Drosophila melanogaster: one gene and its partner. Each later gene encodes a partner of the first gene's protein in a complex. Each region holds a gene or a part of one and is shown in the gene's direction. Other genes may lie near its edges.

What was found. The genes of interacting proteins can lie anywhere in the genome.
Region 2: QIL1 (region 1) and Mitofilin share a complex: the UniProt entries of both Drosophila melanogaster proteins name them as parts of the mitochondrial contact site and cristae organizing system (MICOS) complex.

Annotation. Positions count from the first base shown.
Region 1 is NT_037436.4:17,463,931-17,467,439, forward strand, and holds QIL1 (QIL1), read left to right. Parts: upstream 1-2,014; 5' UTR 2,015-2,195; coding exon 2,196-2,206; intron 2,207-2,268; coding exon 2,269-2,626; 3' UTR 2,627-2,838; downstream 2,839-3,509. UniProt on the Drosophila melanogaster protein: Component of the MICOS complex, a large protein complex of the mitochondrial inner membrane that plays crucial roles in the maintenance of crista junctions, inner membrane architecture, and formation of contact sites to the outer membrane.
Region 2 is NT_033777.3:22,018,740-22,025,026, reverse strand, and holds Mitofilin (mitofilin), read left to right. Parts: upstream 1-1,952; 5' UTR 1,953-2,095; coding exon 2,096-2,140; intron 2,141-2,397; coding exon 2,398-2,627; intron 2,628-2,760; coding exon 2,761-3,234; intron 3,235-3,294; coding exon 3,295-3,443; intron 3,444-3,506; coding exon 3,507-4,202; intron 4,203-4,304; coding exon 4,305-4,325; intron 4,326-4,418; coding exon 4,419-4,577; intron 4,578-4,634; coding exon 4,635-4,923; intron 4,924-4,989; coding exon 4,990-5,167; 3' UTR 5,168-5,294; downstream 5,295-6,287. Other genes in the region: CG6028 (uncharacterized protein), read left to right, coding at 1-101, 173-661; mRpL35 (mitochondrial ribosomal protein L35), read right to left, coding at 819-1,330, 1,395-1,419; Idh3b (isocitrate dehydrogenase 3b), read left to right, coding at 5,994-6,035, 6,200-6,247. UniProt on the Drosophila melanogaster protein: Component of the MICOS complex, a large protein complex of the mitochondrial inner membrane that plays crucial roles in the maintenance of crista junctions, inner membrane architecture, and formation of contact sites to the outer membrane.

The DNA of each region.
Region 1 (3,509 bases):
CAAATTACTTTCGAGCGCAAATGAAGCGAACTGAATGCGAAATTGAAATCCTCTATCATGAGACTGCAAAGGGGTAAGGTTAAGGGTTAGAGGCTATAGGGTAAGGGGTAGTGGGTAAGTGCTGAACCCTTGCCCGCTGAAAAGTTGCAATTTTCCGTGGATAATGCGAATTTTGGAACAAACATTTTCTTGACATTTTCCGCATAAAAATCTAACTGGGTCGTGGATTAGGGGCGCCGGGGGTAAAAAGGGTCACCCAGTGCGCCGCTCATTGTGTAAATAAAGGATCAGGCGAATGCAACCAACTGTCACACGTCCGTGCGAAATTAATAAATTACATTTTCTCTATTTTTTTTTCGCGCAAAAATACTTGCCAATTTTTTAACCCAAAACGCTAGGGGAGTGGGGGAATTTAATTTTCGGGTGCACGAAGGGGTTGCGCAACGCATTAACTGAGCCCATTAATAAGCGTAGCCAACCCCGGATGACACGTGGGTCACTGTCGCCCGACCTGGAAAAAGGACAAGAGCGACAGGCGGCGCGAAAATGGGTAAAAAATAACAAAAGGAGCACCCAGCAAAAAACAGTGGAAAACTGGCAAAAAATAGAGGAAGCCCGTTAAATTTCTCACTCGATTTGAAATCGGGACTTTTCAATAAATTTGGCACAAACCTTGGCAGTTGCCATTCTTTGTTCGCCAGGCAATAATCCTCTTAACTGCAGCGAGTGTCGCAAAATTGGAACAATGCCGCGGGGAAAATGAACACGTTGCATAGGGGCACCAGTAGTAGCTACGTCCTTGCCTCCTTCCGCTCCTTGTTAAGTAAATGAGATTTCAGTGGGAAACAAAGGCGGAAGCCTCCTTGGATAAGCCGGCAACTAGGACGGACTAGGACGGTCCAGGAAGCTTCCCTGCTTGAGAGAACAATAACTGCAGAACGATGCGGAGTTAATCAGCGGATTTCTCACTATTGCATCAGTTCATCAATTAACGTTAGCTAATACCAATTTTGGAACTAGGTTTGTTCTAAAGTGTAGTTTTTGTGTCTGCACTTTGATTAAATATACTTGATTATAATAATACAGCGAATGTGTAAATTAGTTGTGACACAAATATATACATTATATTTAAATTTAGGTGGTAACACAGTTTAACTAATTATGGTTAATTAGTATTATATTTTAATATACAAACATACACAAATACAAACACCAAATCAATTCCGAAAAAAATCGATTCATTTTTTAGTTTGTAATTCTTCTAACTATTATTTTATATTCATCCCATTTTAAACTGAAGATTTCGCCTTTTGGAGAGCAAGTTTGGAATGGCGTGGAGCTTAAACTTCAGTCTTCCAACTTCATAATTATATAAATAGCCATTACGTTGGCTGATAGATATTTGAATAATTTAATTAATTGAATAAATTTAAAGGCTATGCATACCAACGTATTATAATCATTATATTGATAAGAAAAACCTGGCAAATTTGTCTCCTTCTTACCCTCTAAGGATCGGGGATTTACTATACTAATTTATGCCTTAAATGTATAAATTCGACCCAGAAGTACAAATGAATTCAACTCCAAAATAAAATTTTATTGGGCCAGCAGTTATGAAGGTTAGACAAAAGGGAACAATATATAAATGCGAGGCCAAACAAAAACATCAGGCACTCAAAACAAATATATATTATAAATAAGAATATTTTATAAATAGTATTTGAATGCAATGAAATCGTTAAACAAAATAATTAATATTAAAATGATGTCAATAATTTCGGTTGAAACAAATGGGGTAATAAATATGCATTGTGTGTTCTAGTAAACAATACTTCGAAAAGAGATATGGCTTACCAATAAATGCTTCACCGCATAATCATAAATAATTTAAAATTGATAACAAATTTTAAATACATTTTTTAATTTGGATTAAAACTGAGCTAGGTGGGTGTCTAGAATACTTTAATGGCTTGAAACCTCGCTAAAACATCAAATGTATAACTAACTGGTCACACTAAAGCGGCAGATTTTAACTGCTACGTAGACACGGTCACTCCGACAATAATATGAAGTAGAAAAACAAGGAATTTTCCAAAAATTCTGAACGAAAACGACCAGACTGCTATTGTTTGGATACACCCAAAGACCGCAATAGACTGTCACTCTCTCTTCCCCAAAACAAACGAATAAACATGGTTCTAGGGTAAGTCCGTATGCTTTCTCTTGAGGCTTACGTAAGCCTGACACTCTTCGAATCCTTTCCAGATTTCTAGTGCGCGGCGGTCTGGTGGCCGCAACCGTCTACTACACACAAAAGGTGGGCATCTGGGGAGACTCTGACCAGACGGACAAGCTGTACAACGACATCAAGTCGGAGCTGCGCCCGCATGTCCAGAAGCTGGAGAAGCAGCTGCCCTTCGAAGTGCCGCAGTTGCCCAAAACCGGCGAGATGCGCTTCCTGGCCAAGCACTACTACAACGAGGGCGTGAAGAACACCTTCCGTTTCATCCACATGCTGCCCTGCTACGCAGGCAGGGGCCTCAAGAAGGTCAAGGACACGTTCCAGGACTTTGCCCAATCCCCAGCCATCGCCGGCGGTGCGGAGTCCAGTCCGCCGAAGTAACCTGACCCACTGCTCTTCAATGGCAGGCTGTTTTCGTGTTAGCTCATAGTTAGCCTATTGAATAATGTCGTTGTAATGTGTCGTTATTCCTCGATCCGCTCGCCAGCGGATAAGCGACTATAGATCTGTTCTCGACGTACTGAAACGCATCGAACTGGAACGTCCAGTTTAGAAATAAACAATTCTACGTGGTAGGCGTTAAGATCGCACTTAAACCGATGATGTATTCATTTGGGTGCACGGCAAGAAACTGCAGTTTGAAGATAATCTCAGGTAAAATGGTATTTAATATTTAATATATACAAATATTACCGGTTATAAAAATCGATCAACCGTATTTCAATAAGGAAAGATATGATTTGAAAAAGAAGAGCATGGCACCGTAATCCTTAAAATAATCTTTTAATAGTATGATATATGATCTGTGTATTATTCTGACTTCTTTCGGTGTAGTTAAAAAATAACCATGTTACTTTAGTGATATGTGCTTCTATAAATATCCAGGCAAGCTGCTTTTTGCGCTCCACTAATTAAGATCTTTTCGTGTCCACGTAAGACGTCTGTCAGAGCACACTCCCCAAACAGGGCGGTGCAAAGAAAACTGATTTATTAGCCCACTACCGCTCCGGTTTTTGCGCCAGCTCAGACTATTAGATCTTGTATTTGGATCTAATATTTTGTCAGCTATAAAACTGAGGAAACCTGTCACGATGATTAGTCTTCTCGAAGCACGTGAACAGGGTTGTTTTCTGTATTACCAACATGTCAGATATCCGAAAGTTCTCCCACACAAGTGTTTTGATATCACTTGTACATCTTTCTTCTCGCTGATAACACGAAATTATTGCTGTAAACAATGTGATGTTTGAGATCGGCGATGGTT
Region 2 (6,287 bases), on another chromosome or scaffold:
AGCAGAACAAGCCGACCCCCAAGGAACCATTGTTCTTTAGCAAGTTTAACAATGCCCTGGTGGGTCCTCAAGATAATGTCATCGCTCATGCGGCCAGCAGCGTAAGTGAAGCAAGAGATAACAAGAGATAGGCTCATCGAGATAACCAACCGACCAAAAAAAAATTCCACAGAAAATCGATTGGGAGGTTGAGCTGGTCTGTGTCATTGGCAAGGTCGCCCGCCAGGTGCCCAAATCGCAGGCCATGGACTATGTCTTCGGGTATTCGGTGGCCCAGGATATCTCCGCCCGCGACTGGCAGAAGGAACGCAACGGTGGTCAGTTCCTTATGGGCAAGTCGATGGACACTTTTCTGCCGCTGGGACCGGCTGTGGTGCACAAGAGTCTGGTGCCGGATGTTTACAACTTGAATCTGAAAACCTGGGTCAACGGCGTGGAGAAGCAGAACGGCAATACCGGCAACTTGATCTTCAAGCTGGACGATGTGATCAATCGTCTGTCGCAGACCATTACCCTGCTGCCCGGCGACATCATAGTCACCGGAACGCCCAAGGGCGTGGGCATGCATCGCACTCCGCCGGAATTCCTTCAGCCCGGTGATGTCGTGCAGTCGGAGATTGTTGGATTGGGCAAGCTGTGCAACAAGATTGTGGCTCCCTAAGATTGTCAACTCATTTGGCTTGTTGTGTTTGTAAAGTTTGTGTTATTAGTGAAACAATGGCATTTAATAGATGATTTTGTAGTTTTCAATAGATAAACTATAATCAGATATTTTGGTTTTGTTTAATTCAAGTATGTAGTATCTTTGATTAGCCAGGTCACACCTTAAAGGTCTTTGACTGTGTGGCGTAGTACTCGTTGCGGCTGTGATAGGGCTTATAGGGATCGTTGATGAAATGCTTTGGGCGCCGCCAATAGCTGGTGACCATCTTGTCCAGCAGCCAGCTCTGCGTGGCATTGGTGAAGACGTGCTGCTTGAGGCGGCGTCGTAAAGCTGCGGATTTCTTGAAGAGCTTCTTTTGGCGACCGGAATGGGTGCGTATCCAGGCGCCCCAGTCCAGGCGCTTAAAACGTTTCAGTACCGCCTTGACGGTCTTTCGTTTACCCTTCACCAGCGAGAATTTGGTCACGTTGCGTGTGTTTGATGGTGTTCCTGTGGCTGCTAGCACACCCGGCAGCTGCAGGAGCTGGTGATGAGCAGGAGATGCCAGTGATGGCGTGGGCAACAGGCACGGACGGGATAGAGTCATCAAAGTGGCACGTTGTGTCCGCTGGACCAGAGGAACCAACGAAGATGCAGCCGGCGACTGGCGGCAAACGCTTCGCAGCGCTGAAAGTTAAGAACAATTAAAGTAACGTAAACTTGTAAGCCCTATTAGCTGACTTCAACTTACCGCTTGTCACAAAAGTTCTTAGCATTTCACTTAAAACGACAAAGATAAACCTATAATTCCATACAAAACGCAGGTGCTCTTCTTCTTATCGAATCGCGTAACAGTCAGCTGTGTGCCATTCACAGCGAACAAACATAGATTAGCTTGCTATTGGAGATGGGAACCGGTCATCATAAGAACTATCGCAAATGTTTTGGGATTCACCCAAGGAATGGATCAAGTTCAATTTTTCGTTGATAACAATTAAGGCAAAAGGATCCCTTAACCATGTAATCCATTTGTAGAACACTGACAATTCTGACAATTTAAAACTTGTTATAAAAATTGTTGCTTAAACTTATGCGCCCATCTCCAAATCAAATGTATTTTGACTGGCCTATCGAGTACATGCGTATATGTTGCCGACACTTTTTCCATCAAAACACAAACCAAAATTGAGTGATCAAATTCGAGTGGCGCGGGCAAGCGAAACGAAAAGGACGACGAGCAGCACGCAGGACTCGTGTGCGTGTGCGTGGGAGTGTGGGGAATGGAAGAGGAAGCAGCAGCACTGGCCAGCCATTCACCCACCAGCGCTGACGCAGTCGAGCCAGCTTCGAACGAATTGGGCAATATTTAATTCACGCCGCCGGGACTTGAAATTTACGGTAGCCGAAGGAGCAGGAGCACGAGCAGAGCAGGATCACAGCAAAATCAACACCATGTATCGGCTAGCGGTGCGAGATCAGTGCAAGTGCGCCCTGCAGGTGAATTTTTGACCCATTCATTTCTAGCTATTTGATAACGTGAAAATCGATCGTCACGTTGCCCCACACCCCCGCGCGCCCACAAACAAGCGGTTGGCGAAAATACAACAAGAGGCGCTGGTTATGTCATCTACCAAGCCCAGGAATTGGGCGAAAAGCTCCAAAATTCCAGTTGACCAAGGGCGCGGGGGTATCAACGGGCTTGCCAATTTCCTTAAATGTGATGGTCCTAAATGTATTACCTTTCATTGCAACAGCGTACGCTGCAGCAGACGACCGCAAACAACAGGCAATTCGGCGGAAGCAGCAGCGGAAGTGGCGGCCGGGAACAGGGCAGGCGGCAGCAGGAGGAGCAGGGACAGCAAGGCGATCAAGGATATCAAGGATACCAGAGCCTGCCACCGCATATGCGCGAAGCTGGCTTCGGCAAAGTGGTCCTCTTCGTCTCACCACTGGCAGCTGTCGGCGGTGTCATCACCTACGCCAAGTAAATAGAGCCACAATAGAGGTTTAAGATAAGGATAGGCAGTCCACCTGTAGATCAACAAAAATTCGTACACATTTTATTGCACCTGAAATGCTTAAATGAACCATCGAATAATGTAGAAATCCTTTTCCAGATACGACGACGACTTCCGCAAATTGGTGGAGAAGAATGTACCCGGCGCAGGATCCGTCATCAAGGTGGCTCTGCAGGAGGAACCGCCATTCAAGGGCATCACCAAGAACGTCAACGATCAGATCGATAAGGTCAAGTCTGGCATCGAGACAGTGACGTCCACGGTGGACTCCGTTACATCTAAGGTGACGGGCCTGTTTGGCGGCGGCAGCGGCGATGACAAGTCCAAGAAGTCCAAAGTGGAGCCCGTGAAGGCCACTCCTGCTGAGGAAAAGAGACCCTCAAAACCAAGCGAAGTCAGCAAGACTGAAGCGAAGCCAGTGTCGAAGCCAGCAGCAGCAGCAGCGCCTGCGCCCGCTGCCAAGCCTAAGGATAATCCGCTGCCCCGCGATGTTGTTGAGCTGGAGAAAGCCATCGAGCTGTCTGCTCAACTGGCCGTCAAGGAGTACAACGTCGCTATTGGCGTTTTGAAAGGGTGAGCAATTCTCGTTAACTATTCGTTGCGTGATTTTAAATTTAATCAAATATCGTTCAGCTTTAATGACGATGTCCGTAAGGTTGTAGACAAGGCCGTAGAGAATGGAGAGAACTCTCTTTGGACCACGCTGAAAAATCGAGCAAGTGCCCGTGATACGGCAGTGGCTACGGCAGAGCGAGCTGCCCGTGAGGCTCAGGAGAAGATTGGTAAGTCCATTGTTTGTTAAATAGATTCCAAATTTCAGTAACATTCCCTTCTATCAACTGCAGTCGCCTGCGAGATCGCCCTGAGTGCTGCGGCAACGGCCCAAAACGCAAAGAAAGTAGAGGCAGTGCGCGACAAGATCAAGAAGCTTGTGGACCACATTGGCAACGTAAAGGACGAGCTTTACCGGCACAAGGACACGGCCAGCGTGTCAGACAAGTACTGGCGGAATGTGGAGAAGGCGCGAAACTACTTCATTGACGAGATCGAGTCTATCTTCCCCGGCCTCAGTTTGGCGGATAAGAAACTTAATCTGTCAAAGGAGGACCTAGACTTGTTCATCCTGCACGCCTACACCCATGTCCTGGCCTACCAGAAGGAGCTGCAGCGCTTGCAAACCGATGGTGAGCTGCGCCTGAAGAGAGCTATTGACTCGGTTCGCGGTGACAACGATTCGGAGGCTTTGCGCGCCCAACTGGAATACCATTTGGAGGCCGAGCGGCGCAAACTGGCCGTGGAAAATCAAAAGAAAATCTTCCACATCCACGCCGAGTCTGATAAGCTGCTGCGCTTGCAGCTCAAAAAGCAAGCAGAGGCCCACGCCGATCATATAAAGGACATCGTGGCGCAGCGGGAGACCGATCTGACGCGAAGCTTTAAGCGTGAACTTGAGGATAAGCTGGCGACCGAAAAGGCCAACTATAAGTTACAATTGGCCGGGATGCTCGGCAAGCTGCGCGGAATGGACGCGGCTCTGGCAGGTAAGTTATACGTTTTAAACGATATCGGTTGAATGTAGCTAGTGTAGCGTGGCTAGATATATAATGGTTTTCAAACCTTTTCAAAACATGCTGCTATATTAGAGATAGAGGATGAGTTTCAAGGTATATTCACCCTATATGAAGGGTAGTACTTATACCAACTTATTCTTGGTTTAATCAAAATGTTTATTGACATTATATGCAACATTTTTGCAGAGCGTGCGGATGCAGAGCGTACTGCCAATCAGGCGCAGGCCCTTTGGGCCGCCTGCCAAGCTCTGTGGGCCTCCGTGCGCGCTGCCACTCCTGGCGTGCACTATAAGGATAGGTTGCGCCCGTTAAAGAACGAGATCAATGCCATTGCCAAGGTGGCTAGTAAGTTGAAACGTTTCCCACATTTCGATTTCAGTTGCTAAATGCATATGCTTACAGAGGGTGACGACCTGGTGGCCGCTGTGCTGGAAAGCGTCCCGAAGGAGGCTCAGGAGCGCGGTGTCTATCCAGAAGATGCATTGCGCGAGCGTTTCCTGAATGTGGAGCGCGTGGCGCGACGATTGGCTTTGGTGCCCGAGGAAGGAGCCGGCCTGCCCATCTACTTCCTGTCCTATCTGCAATCGCTGTTCATCTTGCGACCCGATAATCCCATATCCAAGGACGAACTCGAGAACAAACCCTTCGACTATAGCAAACTGGACACCTACGATATCCTAAACAGGGCCAGGTGAGGCGATTGATTCATCTATCACTAGAGTTATATAATATATATTATATATATTATGTTTCACAGGTACCATGTGGATCGCAGCGACTTTCTGCAGGCGCTCAAGTACATGAATCTGCTGCAGGGTGCATCGCGCAAGATTGCCGGCGAGTGGATGAAGGAGGCTCGCCTCATGCTGGAGACTCAGCAGGCGGCCAACACCTTGATGGCTCACGCCGCTGCCAGCGGACTATTGTATTTGTAGACTACGTCCCGTGTCCCCTTCCTTCAGAAACAAGATGATACACTTACTATTTGTTATTAGTCCAGGAGAAGATGGTACGATTACCAACAATATGTAATTTGTCCAATTAGCGATCACAGTTGAAACGAAATAGCACTTATATACATATATTTGTAACATTTTGTTTAGCTTCAATTATACAAATTAAACATAGAAACCATCATTATAAAATCCAAAACATAAATACTCTGGGAAGATTTGTAAAAAATTCGATACCAAGGCATGAATGGAATATGATATATTACTAAAGCTGAAATTGGCAAGCTTTGTGTTTCTGAAGAACAATGTGATTAGGCCATAAATAAACATAAAGAACATCCACTTGTTGTTTAATTTAGCGAAAAAAATTAATATAATAAATAAGTTGACTAAAAAGTATGCTGAATGTCAAAATTCAAATAAAATGCATTGGCTAAATTTAATTTCTCTGTTCTGAAAAGAAAGCATGGTAGGCAAGGCAAATGTATTCAAAAACAGGTTACTATGCGGTTGCCGCCAAATTTATTCCTTAAATAATCGTATATGTTCGTTACTAATTTTCGAACGCCAAAATCGCGATAGTTGGTCGTTAGCCAGCACTGGACGCGCCAGTTTCGTGGGCGGCTATCGCCAGCCCTGGTAGTCAGAGGCAATCAGCTGGTTTGCGTGGTCGATTTGGTCCTATTGAAATTTTTCGGTTTGGCACCGGAGCAAAAATCACATCGCAATCAAAAATTTCGCGTGGCCAAAGGACACACTTTTGAGTTTGGATCAACAGCCGGGAAGATCTAGCTAACCGAATAGCAAAATGTCGATGCTGGCGAGAACAGTTGGACGGACGTTCATGCAGGTAAACGGCCATCCAAACCGCAGCTCTTACATAAACACTTGCTCGCGACGCGCTGTGCGAATATTTCTGCGCTGAGGCCTAGTTCTTATACGTTTCTTTTTTTTTTTTTTGAGGTTATAATCCTAGCCAGCCTTAACGATTACATTGCATTCTTCTCGTTTTAGGCTGCGGCAGCACGTAGTCTGCACACCACGTCGACGCTACGGGCTACGGTGAGTGTTAAATGCGCTTATTAAGTGGCACCAGTTGTAA